Linked DNA regions of Macaca mulatta. The protein of the gene in region 2 interacts with the protein of the main gene of each other region in a pairwise test. Links are inferred from orthologs where the notes say so. Each region holds a gene or a part of one and is shown on either strand. Other genes may lie near its edges. The genes, in order: USHBP1; TXLNB; keratin, type I cuticular Ha8.

The links.
Region 1: the proteins of TXLNB (region 2) and USHBP1 interact in binary tests that used the Homo sapiens proteins (3 or more experiments, as listed by UniProt). The two-hybrid records come from large-scale screens. The link is inferred for Macaca mulatta from reciprocal best matches to the Homo sapiens genes TXLNB and USHBP1.
Region 3: the proteins of TXLNB (region 2) and keratin, type I cuticular Ha8 interact in binary tests that used the Homo sapiens proteins (3 or more experiments, as listed by UniProt). The link is inferred for Macaca mulatta from reciprocal best matches to the Homo sapiens genes TXLNB and KRT38.

The regions. Positions count from the first base shown.
Region 1 is NC_133424.1:17,748,672-17,752,419, reverse strand, and holds the start of USHBP1 (harmonin-binding protein USHBP1), read left to right. Parts: upstream 1-1,018; 5' UTR 1,019-1,201; intron 1,202-1,414; 5' UTR 1,415-1,462; coding exon 1,463-1,516; intron 1,517-1,611; coding exon 1,612-1,760; exon of another isoform or gene 1,761-1,993; intron 1,994-2,056; exon of another isoform or gene 2,057-2,775; coding exon 2,776-3,214; intron 3,215-3,748.
Region 2 is NC_133409.1:44,399,484-44,403,231, forward strand, and holds the start of TXLNB (beta-taxilin), read right to left. Parts: upstream 2,337-3,748; 5' UTR 2,139-2,336; intron 1-2,138. UniProt on the Homo sapiens protein: Promotes motor nerve regeneration. May be involved in intracellular vesicle traffic.
Region 3 is NC_133421.1:65,782,655-65,786,402, reverse strand, and holds the start of keratin, type I cuticular Ha8, read left to right. Parts: upstream 1-1,543; 5' UTR 1,544-1,605; coding exon 1,606-2,097; intron 2,098-2,284; coding exon 2,285-2,367; intron 2,368-3,160; coding exon 3,161-3,317; intron 3,318-3,661; coding exon 3,662-3,748.

The DNA.
Region 1 (3,748 bases), on a different chromosome or scaffold from region 2:
AAAGGTTGCAGTGAGCCAATATCGCACCACTGCACTCCAGCCTGGGCGACAGAGCGAGAAGAGAACTGTCAGCCCACAGTGAAGAGACAGGCAGAGAAGAAGAGTTCACAGGGGAGCCAAATAAAAGCCATATCAGGCCGGGCGCGGTGGCTCAAGCCTGTAATCCCAGCACTTTGGGAGGCCGAGGCGGGTGGATCACGAGGTCAGGAGATGGAGACTATCCTGGCTACCATGGTGAAACCCCGTCTCTACTAAAAATACAAAAAACTAGCCGGGCGTGGTGGCGGGCGCCTGTAGTCTCAGCTACTTGGGAGGCTGAGGCGGGAGAATGGCGTGAACCCGGGAGGCGGAGCTTGCAGTGAGCCGAGATCACGCCACTGCACTCCAGCTTGGGAGACACAGCGAGACTCCGTCTCAAAAAAAAAAAAAAAAAAAAAAAAAGCCATATCGGCTCAGGGGAACATTCTAGCTCTTTTTTTTTTTTCTTTCTTTTTGAGACAGGGTGTTGCCTTGTTACCCAGACTGGAGTGCAGTGGCGTGACCATGGCTCACTGCAGCCTCAACTTCCAGGTGTTAAGCAATCCTCCCACCTCAGCCTCCCGAGTAGCTGGGACTACAGGCATATGCCACCACTCCTGGCTAATTTTTATATTTTATGTAGAGACGGGGGTCTTGCCATGTTGCCCAGGCTTGTCTTAAACTCTTGGGCTCAAGCGATCTGCCTTCCTCAGCTTCCCAGAGTCCTGGGATTACAGGCATGAGCCATGGTGCTCGGCCCATTCTAGATCTTGAGAAATAAAATCCAAGAGTCAGAGCTAGAAGGGCCATAGGCTTGGAGGCTGAGACGAGGAGGGGCTGAAACCTTGGTAGTCAGGTATGTGTGCCCCGCTAGGGCTGCAGGAAGCTGCTGTCCTCAAAAAGGAAACAACACAATAACAAGTCACATGACCAGGGGAGGGGGTTTCCTGTTTCCTGGTCCCTCCCAGGCCAGGCTTGGCCAGCCCAGGCCTGACCAGGCAGTGGCCAGAGTGACCCCAAGACGGTGTCCAGGGACTCAGGCCTCTGATCAAGTTACCCCCAGAAGATCAGAGAGGTAGAGAGCTGAACCCGTCATTTAGGAGGGCCGCGGAGGAGAGGGAATTATTGAGATTGCATTTCCAGGCTCAAAGAGAGGAGGGAAGGGGACAAAGACGTAGTGAAGGTAAAGAAGGCAGAGAAGAAGGGGGAGATCCAGACAACCTTGTTAGGTAGTGAGCTGCCTGTCCAGGGAGGCATTCAAATGTGCCCAATCAACATTGATCACAAAATCCCTTCCTGAGGGGTAGTCAATGTCCCATTTCACAGCAGAGGAAATTGAGGTTGTCCCTTGTCCAGGACAACAAAGGCAAGAGGTCATGGCAGGCTGTGGTTTTAGGGGTTGACGAAGGAGAAGCATTCAGAGAGCACTGGCTTCTGGACAGCAATGAGTGCCCGGGCCACGCGGCCCCGAAGCCGGCGAGGGAGGCATGCTCCACCCGTAAGTGTCGCCCTCTCCCCTCCACACCCAGCTCCTGGGGACCCCAAGGTCCCGTCCTGCCTGGCTCAGAGCGGGGCCACGGGGGTCATTTGCAGGGTGAACTGGACCCCGTGGCTGAGAGTTCAGAGGAGATTGAGGCAGCCAGTGGGAGCTCCAAGCTCAGCTTTGCCCCACCTCCTGTGAGCTCCGGGCTGGAACAGCTGGGCCCCATGGAGGAGGTCAGTGGCCAAGGCCTAGGAAGCAGGTAAGACCCCCTTGGTCTGTGCCCTTCACTCCAGTCCAGATGCATCTTTGCCATCTGCAGATCTGCTGATGTGCCCTCTCTGCTCACACACCTACCATAGCTCCCTGTTGCCTTCAGCCTGACTTCTTTTTTTTTGAGTCTTGCTCTGTCACCCGGGCTGCAGTGCAGTGGCACAATCTCCACTCACAGCAACCTCTGCCTCCTGGGTTCAAGAGGGAGCCTCAGCTTCCCGAGTAGCTGGGATTACAGGTGTGTGCCACCACACCCAGCTAATTTTTGTATTTTTAGTGAGACAGGGTCTTGCCACGTTAGCCAGGCTGGTCTTGAACTCCTGACCTCAGGTGATCCCCCCACTTCGGCCTCCGAAAGTGCTGGGATTACAAGTGTGAGTCGCTGCCCCAGAAGACCCCATTTCCAGAATCTTCTGTCTCTCACCTTCAGGACTTTCCCAGTGCCCGTCACAGTCCAACTTACTATTCACTCTGCTTCGTAGCCCCAGGTCTCCCCTCCAACTTCTCCACCACCTCTGTCCAGCCTCTTCCCTGAATTCCCAGCCTCCCAGTCTCTCCCCGGGATGCAAGTCCCAGAACACGCAGCTCTTGCCAACTCTGCCCCGCTCACACCTCCCGAAGACCATGAAGTTTAAGCCCTAAGAATTCCCTGCCCTGGGCTGAGCGTTGTGGCCCATGCCTGTTATCGCAGAACTTTGGGAGGCCAAGTCGGGCGAATCACCTGAGGTCAGGAATTTGACATCAGCCTGGCCAACATGGTGAAACCCTGTCTCTACTAAAAATACAAAAATTAGCCGGGTGTGGTGGTGGGCACCTGTAATCCCAGCTACTTGGGGGACTGAGGCAGGAGAATCACTTGAACCCAGGAGGTGGAGGTTGCAGTGAGCTGAGATCGCACCACTGCACTCCAGCCTGGGCAACAGAGTGAGATTCTGTCTCAAAAAATAAAAAAGAATTCCCTGCCCAGCATGAAGCGACTCAAGTGCCTGAGTTGGTGTCCACAGGACCGACAAGAAGACGGATGGGGGCTCTGGCAGGGGACTGGCCTCAGCCCCCGAGGTGCCCCACAAACCTGCAGTGGAAGCCTACCAGGCCCCAGAAGCAGCCCTACAGTACAAGGAGACTGTGCCCCCTGGGATTGGGGCCCCCGATGTGTTTCAGACCCTCCAGCACGCTCTGAGCTCCCTGGAGGCAGCGGCTGCAGCCTGGCGCCACCGGCCCCCCAGCCATCCTGGGCCAATGGAGTTGGAAGACACAAGCAAAGGGGGACCAGGTCCCCTTGGGAAGCAGGAAGGGGCAGGGAGCAGCCAGCGAGAGGCAGCTCGCCTGGCTGAGAGGAATGCCTGGCTCCGGCTGGCCCTGAGTAGCCGAGAGGATGAGCTGGTCCGCACGCAGGCCTCCCTGGAGGCCATCCGAGCTGAGAAGGAGACGCTGCAGAAAGAGGTGAGTGGGGCCATCCTGTGTCCTATGTGGCTCTCTGTCTGAGGGAGGAGGCAGGCCCGATGTAGGCAATATTCATTCATCTGTTCATTCCAAAAACCTTTTGAGGCTGGGTGTGGTGGCTCACGCCTATAATCCCAGCACTTTGGGAGATGGAGGCACGAGGATCCTTTGAGGCCAGGAGTTCAAGACCAGCCTGGGCAACACAGCAAGACCCCTACCTCTGCAAAAAATAAAAAATAAAAATCAGCCAGGTTGGCCAGGCACGGTGGCTCACACCTGTAATCCCAGCACTTTGGGAGGCTGAGGTGGGCGTATCACAAAGTCAGGAGTTCAAGACCAGCTTGGCCAACATGGTGAAACCCCATCTCTACTAAAAATAAAAATAAATAAATAAATAAAAGCCAGGTGTGGTGGCATATGCCTGTAATTCCAGCTACTCAGGAGGCTGAGGCAGGAGAATCACTTGAACCCAGGTGATGGAGGTGGCAGTGAGCTGAGATCACATCAATGTACTCCAGTCTGGGGAACAGAGTG
Region 2 (3,748 bases):
AAAATGTTTAAATCTAAAATGGCATTAGTTTTCTTTCAAAGTTAAAATATTTAATAGAAGAGCCATCGAATTTATTTAAATGACTCATAACAATAACATCTCTAAGTTCTATTTGATCCATAAATCAGTATTTTGCTTAGTATGAATATTTTGATGTAAATGCATTATTACACTCGATACAGGAGACATTTCTCACTTTTCCGGCATTTTCTTTTTCAGATAAGCAACATGAATGCTTTTTCTGAGGCTCAAACTGGCATCATTTTTCAATTAAGACAGGGAATGAGGAAAGGTATAAATAAATAAACCAAGTAGTATAGAAACACAGGCCGGGTGCGGTGGCTCATATGTGTTATCCCAGCACTTTAGGAGGCCGAGGCGGGTGAATCACTTGAGGCCAAGAGACCAGCCTGGCCAACATGGTGAAACCCCGTCTCTACTAAAAATACAAAAATTAGCCGGATATGGTGGCCGGCACCCGTAGTCCCAGCTACTTGGGAGGCTGAGGTATCAGAATTGCTTGAACCGGGAGGCGGAGGTTGTAGTGAGCCAAGATTGCGCCACTAAACTCCAGCCTGAGCGACAGAGCAAGACTTTGTCTCAAAAACAAAACAAAAGCATGATGCTGCTTATAACAACAATTCCTTAAGTTTCTATAATACTCTTTTATTCCAATATATAAACCAACATTTTAAAAGAGAAAAACAGATTACAACTTTCTCTTCTAAGTCAGGAAGCTCTAGAAAAACAATAATTTTTAAGAAGTAGCAATGTTTCATAAACGAGGAGGAGACCAACTCGAGAAATAATTCAGCAATAATAAGGGCCCTTGGGAAAGGGTGAGAGATGGAACTGAGTCAGAGATTCCAGTGTTTCTGACTATTACCACTTCTAGGGTTGCAATAGATTTGGTTTAGGCCTTTAAGTTATGGTGCATTTTATTTTTAAATAATATTTAACAGTGATGCTGCTAAATAGCAGCATAAAAATAAGGCAAGATCCTCATAATTCGCAGGTTTTGCTGTTGTGGTAACGTGAAAGTGAAAACAAAAGCATACTGTTCTACAACTGCATAGCTTCCTTTTCCTGTTCTTAGGGCAGCAGGTGTCAATCAAATGCTCGGACACCAACAAGAACAGAAAATTCAACACAGACATTGCCACTGATGTGATGCTCACTAAACACTCATAACTTAGAGGAAGTACTTTTTTTCTTTCACTGTATTGAATTCACCAACTTAATTATCAAATAATGTAGCAAACAATTTCATTATCTTCATCACTGGGATTTCTTTATCCTGACCTCTACTTGTTGATTGCACTCATCTATATATAACTTAGGCCTCCCCTAAACACGGAGAAAGACACACGGCACCTGCTGTCCAGCCAAAAGTTATTTTAAGCTATTCTAAAATGAGTCATGCCATTTAGCACTTCATCCTTAAAAATCAAGAAAATCATTTTTCAATCAAATTGAAAACAGTAAACATTTGCTGGCTTAAATCCATACGTAGGTTTTAAAGTTGGGGAGACTATCTTAGGATGAAATAAAATCTCAAGTAAAATGAATTTCAAAATAATTAATTTAAAATAAGCTGTCCATAGGAGTTTTACTTTGGTTAGTCTAAATGCAAGTGGCTGTTTGTATTCAATTTGTTCTTTATCAGATGCCACAATCATTGATTTTTTTAAATTATTAATTCCATGGCTATTCTTTAAACTCCTGTTCCACATTTACTTTAAAACAGAACAGTCATTATAAAGCCTAGGACAACTCAATTCCTAAAAGTAGTCTCAAGACAAGTTAACAAGAGGGAAAAAAACAAAGTCAAAGAACTTCGTTACTTTTCAATCATCCATTGTATATTATGTGGCAAAGAAATTATTTCAAACTTTTATCTTATATAAACTTTATTGCCTTATTTTCCCCTCCCCAGGGAGAGAACTTTTCACTTGTGTTGGCTATTCCAGATGACTATCACAGACACATCCCTCCCTAAGCAACATATTTATTTATAAATACAACAATGAAAAGTTCTCCAACAGTTCACTGGCAATCTCAAAGTTGCAAGTTTCAAACACCACAAACCGCACCCTACATCTTCTCACGGGGCTTGGGGGAGGGTTTATCATACTTACCAGAAGGCAAGAAGCTAAGCAAGAAGAGAGAGGAGAGGAAAGAGGCAGGAAAAAGCAAGTCAGAGCTGCAGCAACAGCAGGGGAGGGCGGGCTGGCTGTGTTCTTACAAGGGAGAGAGAAACCCAATACACACACACACACACATATACACGCGCGCGCACACACACACACACACACGCCACAGGCACTGCTGGAGGCAGCAGTCTGGGGGAGGTGGGGGTAGGGAAAGGAACATCGTATGACACAGTGAGGGGAAAATACATCCAAGCTTCCCTAGCTGTTGCCACGGGAAATATCTTAGCAGAGAGAAGCAGCTGGAAGATCTCATCGGACTCTCCATGTTTTGTTTGTCCTTTCGGAAATTTAAACTCTGACTATATCATCCCCTTTGCAAATGCAGTCTTTCACCATTGTTACCCTTTTGGGTAGAGATCAGTTTTTCTTACTTCTTGGTTTATCTCCAGTGTGGTGGATGATTCATCTTCTTTTTCTTCTTCTACTTCTGCTAGCTTAATTGGTGTCAGGTTTGTTATAGGAATCACGGAAAAAGAAAAACAATGGCATAAGAACAGGGAGGTGGTGGAACTATTTTAATTCTGATGTCATTGGTTTGTTTGCAGAGTTTGAAATAAACATGTAGATGGTGATTTTGGAGCTGAACTGAGTATAATCTTCATGCACATGGTAATTGGTGTGACCTTGGAGCACAGTCTTTCCCAGGTAACTGTTCCCACCTCAGACAAACCCTCAGGGAAGCAGTCAGCTTTTTCTTCCTTAGTTGGTGGCTTTCCCACACTTTGTAAATCCTCAACATGCTCCTGGATCCTCCTCAGAAAAATAAACTCCTTCTGATTCACCATCAAATGCCTCTCTATTAATTTACGTCCATTCCCTTTTTATTTTTCTTTCTGGAGCTTGTGTTCCTATACTTTCAAAGCAGATTCCTCCATCAGTCTCTGCTCTGGGGACAGGCTGCGCATAGTGGCATCCCTTGTGGTAGGCAGAATGATGCCACCCAAAACATCTCCACGTCCTACTCCTTGGAACCTGTGAATATGTTACTTTACATGACAAGAGACTTTGCAGATGTGATTAAGAATCCTGAGGTAGGGAGATTATCTTGAACTATCTGGGTGGGCTAAACGTGATCATAAGGGTATTTATTTATTTATTTTTTGAGATGGAGTCTCGCTCTGCCACTCAGGCTGGAGTGCAGTGGTGCAATCTCAGCTCACTGCAACCTCCACCTCCTGGGTTCAAGTGATTCTCCTGCCTCAGCCTCCTGAGTAGCTGGGATTACAGGTGCCCGCCACCACACCCAGCTAATTTTTTGTATTTTTAGTAGAGATGGGGGTTTCGCTGTGTTTGGCTAGGCTGGTCTCAAACTCCTGACCTCATGATCCGCCCGCCTCGGCCTCCCAAAGTGCTGGGATTACGAGCGTGAGCCATTGCGCTCAGTCTCATAAGGGTCTTTATAAATGAGGGAGGAAGGCAGTAGGATTGGAGGCAGAAAAGGAGATTTGATGACCTCAGCATAGGTCAGGAAGCTTCTAGAAGCTGGGAAAGGCAAGGAAGCAGATTCTACTCTAGAGCCTCCAGAGGGATGCAAT
Region 3 (3,748 bases), on a different chromosome or scaffold from region 2:
CTTTGGATTGTTCCACATTAGGTTTTTCTCAGTCTCAGGGGTCTATGTATCTACTGTCACAAATTTTGGAAGAAAACTTTTGGGATCTCAGCAGTCATGTGTCTTGGATCCCTAGTACCAAGAACTATCTAAATGTGGAATGTGTAATATAACCATTTTAGAGACAGGGGTTTCCCCTGGCATCTTCTGATTTGGCCCTTGGAGAAACTCTGTTTTATTGTATCAATACCTCCACATCTGAGGTATTTTCTGAGATACAAAGGGAAAAATACACAACGTCAGATTTTTGTTTTACATCTTCACTTCAACTTCTTGCCTGGTTTCTAGGCCTTTGAATCCTTCTTAGTTCTAGCAATGACACAGTAGTTATCCTTGGGGGTGGGAGATTTGGTGGTAGTCAAGGTGAAGAAATAGCTTCTGCAGTTGAAAGAAGCTGATGTTGAGAATAGGCTTTATACTTCATAGTGGGGTTGATCTTAGAAAAATGACTTCACATCTCTTGTCCTCAATGGCTTATTTATTTATTTTATAAAATTAAGAGTACCCACCTCCCAGGTTGGAAGTAAAGATTAAAAGGTATCACTGCTCAATCCCCTAGCTCATAGGGTGAAGGCTCATGACTGATTTTAGAATCAAGGAAGCAAAGTATGAAGAGAGCCCACAGAGGCTCTGATCACTCAATGTTCTTTGGCTTTCATGAGTTCTTTTCTCAAAGTTCTTATTTGAGGTTCAGTAAGATTATTGCTCATTTCTTTTTGTTTTTTTCTGGCTTCTTGAGCTTGCCTTCTTGGTCGAGATAAGCCATGGTTTTTGGAGTCATCCTCATTTTCATAAGCTTCTCAGATACCTTGTTTGAAACATCACATCTATCCAAGTTACAGTTGTTCCCCAATGACAGGAACTGTTCTGTGCTTAACCAACTATATGTCAAGTGTCAGCAAGGTGCCTGACAAATGGGACATAGCTAGGGGATGTGTGTTGAGTGAATGGATTCATCTAAGTCTTGTTGCTCCTCAAAGTGAGTCTGAAAGGCAACCAACTAAAGAAAGAAGAAATGTAGGACTTCTTGATAACCCAAGGCCGTAACATCCACCAATACCAAGACTTAGTTTCTTCCTTGGATAGGGAAGGCTGGTTGAGTCTTAACCCAAGTGAGAACCATTGCCATTACAAGGGTTAGTCCTCCTGCTACACCACTGACCAACAGGAAAGTTTGTGTCTCCAGAGTGGAGACATCCATAAAGAGGCCAAACCCAGTCAAGGTCTAAGCATCTGATGGCTAAAATAACTTTGCTTCTTTGAAAAATAATAAAAACCTTCTGACCTCCCACCAGCAGCCAACCTGATTTCAAAGAGCCAAGAGGCATCTCAGATTCGTCAACATTCCTTTAATGAGCTGAGAAACTTTTCATGGTAAACTCAGCAGCTGAGTAACAGGATGATGGCACCACAACAGGTAGATAATCAAGGCAGGAGGTCAAAGCATTGGAGCCAACACCCACCCAGGACGGGGTATAAAAGGGCTGGGAGGAGAGGAGACCTCAGTCTCAGTGGCTCGGCGTTCCCAGCTGATCTGAAGCTCCTGTGCAGTCTCAGCCCTACACCATGACCTCCTCCTACAGCAGCTCCTCATGCCCTCTGGTTTGCACCATGGCTCCTGGAGCAAGAAATGTCTCTGTCTCTCCCATCGACGTTGGGTGCCAGCCCGGGGCAGAGGCCAACGTTGCCCCCATGTGCCTTTTGGCCAACGTGGCACATGCCAACCGAGTCCGCGTGGGGTCGACTCCCCTGGGCCGCCCCAGCCTCTGCCTGCCCCCAACCTGCCACAATGCTTGTCCCTTGCCAGGGACCTGTCACATTCCTGGCAACATTGGAATCTGTGGGGCCTATGGTGAAAACACCCTGAATGGCCATGAGAAGGAGACCATGCAGTTCCTGAACGACCGCCTGGCCAACTACCTGGAGAAGGTGCGCCAGCTGGAGCGGGAGAACGCGGAGCTGGAGGCCACACTCCTCGAGAGGAGCAAGTGCCACGAGTCCACTGTGTGCCCGGACTACCAGTCCTACTTCCGCACCATCGAGGAGCTCCAGCAGAAGGTGAGGTGTGGGATCACTTGGGCGTGCTGGGTCTGAGAAGGCAGAAGCCTTCGCAGGAGGAATCCACATAAGGTCCAGAGAGCTTTGGGTTCTTGGTTTCTCTTGGACATGAGCGTAGACACCACACGTGGAGTGGGAGCTTAGAGTATGATGCTTTGTGTGTGAACCGTCTTTCCGTTTTCCTCAGATCCTGTGCAGCAAGGCCGAGAATGCCAGGCTGATTGTACAAATTGACAATGCTAAGCTGGCTGCCGATGACTTTAGGATCAAGTAAGTCAGGTGGAGGAGGGCCAGGGTGACTCCCTCCCCACCCTCCATCCCAGTGCCCAAATACTTGTTGAGTGAGTGAATGTTTGTCCTGTCTTCCTTGCTAGATTCTCCACAGTAAAATTTTCATTACAATCAAAGCTGATGAAAGATGGAAGGGAAAACTCCTCATTAATCCAAGCATATATGTTTGTCCTCCTTCATTTATTTCCCTAAAATGGAGGATAAGGGAGCCTGAGTTCATTCACCAGGAGCAAAATGAGGGGATTTCAAGGATGAACTGAGCAAGACAGCCATTGGGTTTCATATATAAGTCAGAGAAGTCGTTTACAGATGAGTCTTTGTTCAGATTTAATTATGGAGCCCTAAGGTACCAGGCATAAGGTACCTAGGCAAAAATGAGAGAGGGGAAGACAGCTGAAAAGTAAGGCATAAGGAGCCGCAGATCACGATCAGGCACCTGGCTATTGCTTATCTTTGGTAACTGACAGTCCCCGCAATGGCACGAGTGTTGGTCCCAAGATGCATGATCTTAGGCAAGTCAGTTCATCTTCCTGAACTGCAGTTGCCACAGAATACAATGGCAAAAATGTATATTGTGCAATGTAGTGTTGTGATTGCTTCATTAGACCATGAGCTCTTTGAGAAGGGGGGCTGTGTCTAATTCACCTTCGAGGCCAGAGGGCTAAACAGTGAACAAATGAGGATCCAAGGTGGTGTGGGAGGTAGGAAGGCAGGGCAGCCGAGAGGGGCTCTTGGGGCATTCTTGTTGACCCTGTACCTCCCGTGATGGAAGGCTGGAGAGTGAGCGCTCCCTACGCCAGCTGGTAGAGGCGGACCAGTGTGGGACGCAGAAGCTCCTGGATGACGCGACCCTGGCCAAGGCTGACCTGGAGGCCCAGCAGGAGTCCCTGAAGGAGGAGCAGCTGTCCCTCAAGAGCAACCATGAGCAGGTGTGGCCCTGGCTGCTCAGACTCCCGGGGAGGGTGCTGGGCAGACAGGGGAGCTCCCTGGCCCCGGGGCTCTCAGAGCATTGTCTGGGCTCAGCTGGTATCAGGATGCAGGACTGAGGGGGGTCTGAGGGTCCAGAGGGCCTCTGTGGAAAGTGCAGACTTGCCTTGGGCACGAGGAAGGTGTCCAGGTGGGCTCTCCCCACTGCACTCTCAGCAAGACTTTCCCATTTGCTTGTGTGTGGGACTCCCCTCCCACTGCTTGCAGGGTCAGGGTCCTGGTGCTGTCTGCTCCATCAAAGGTCCTCTCTTCACACAGGCTGTCTGTCCCTTCCTCCTTTCTGCAGGAAGTAAAGATTCTGAGGAGTCAACTGGGGGAGAAGCTCCGGATTGAGCTGGACATTGAGCCCACCATTGACCTGAACAGGGTGCTG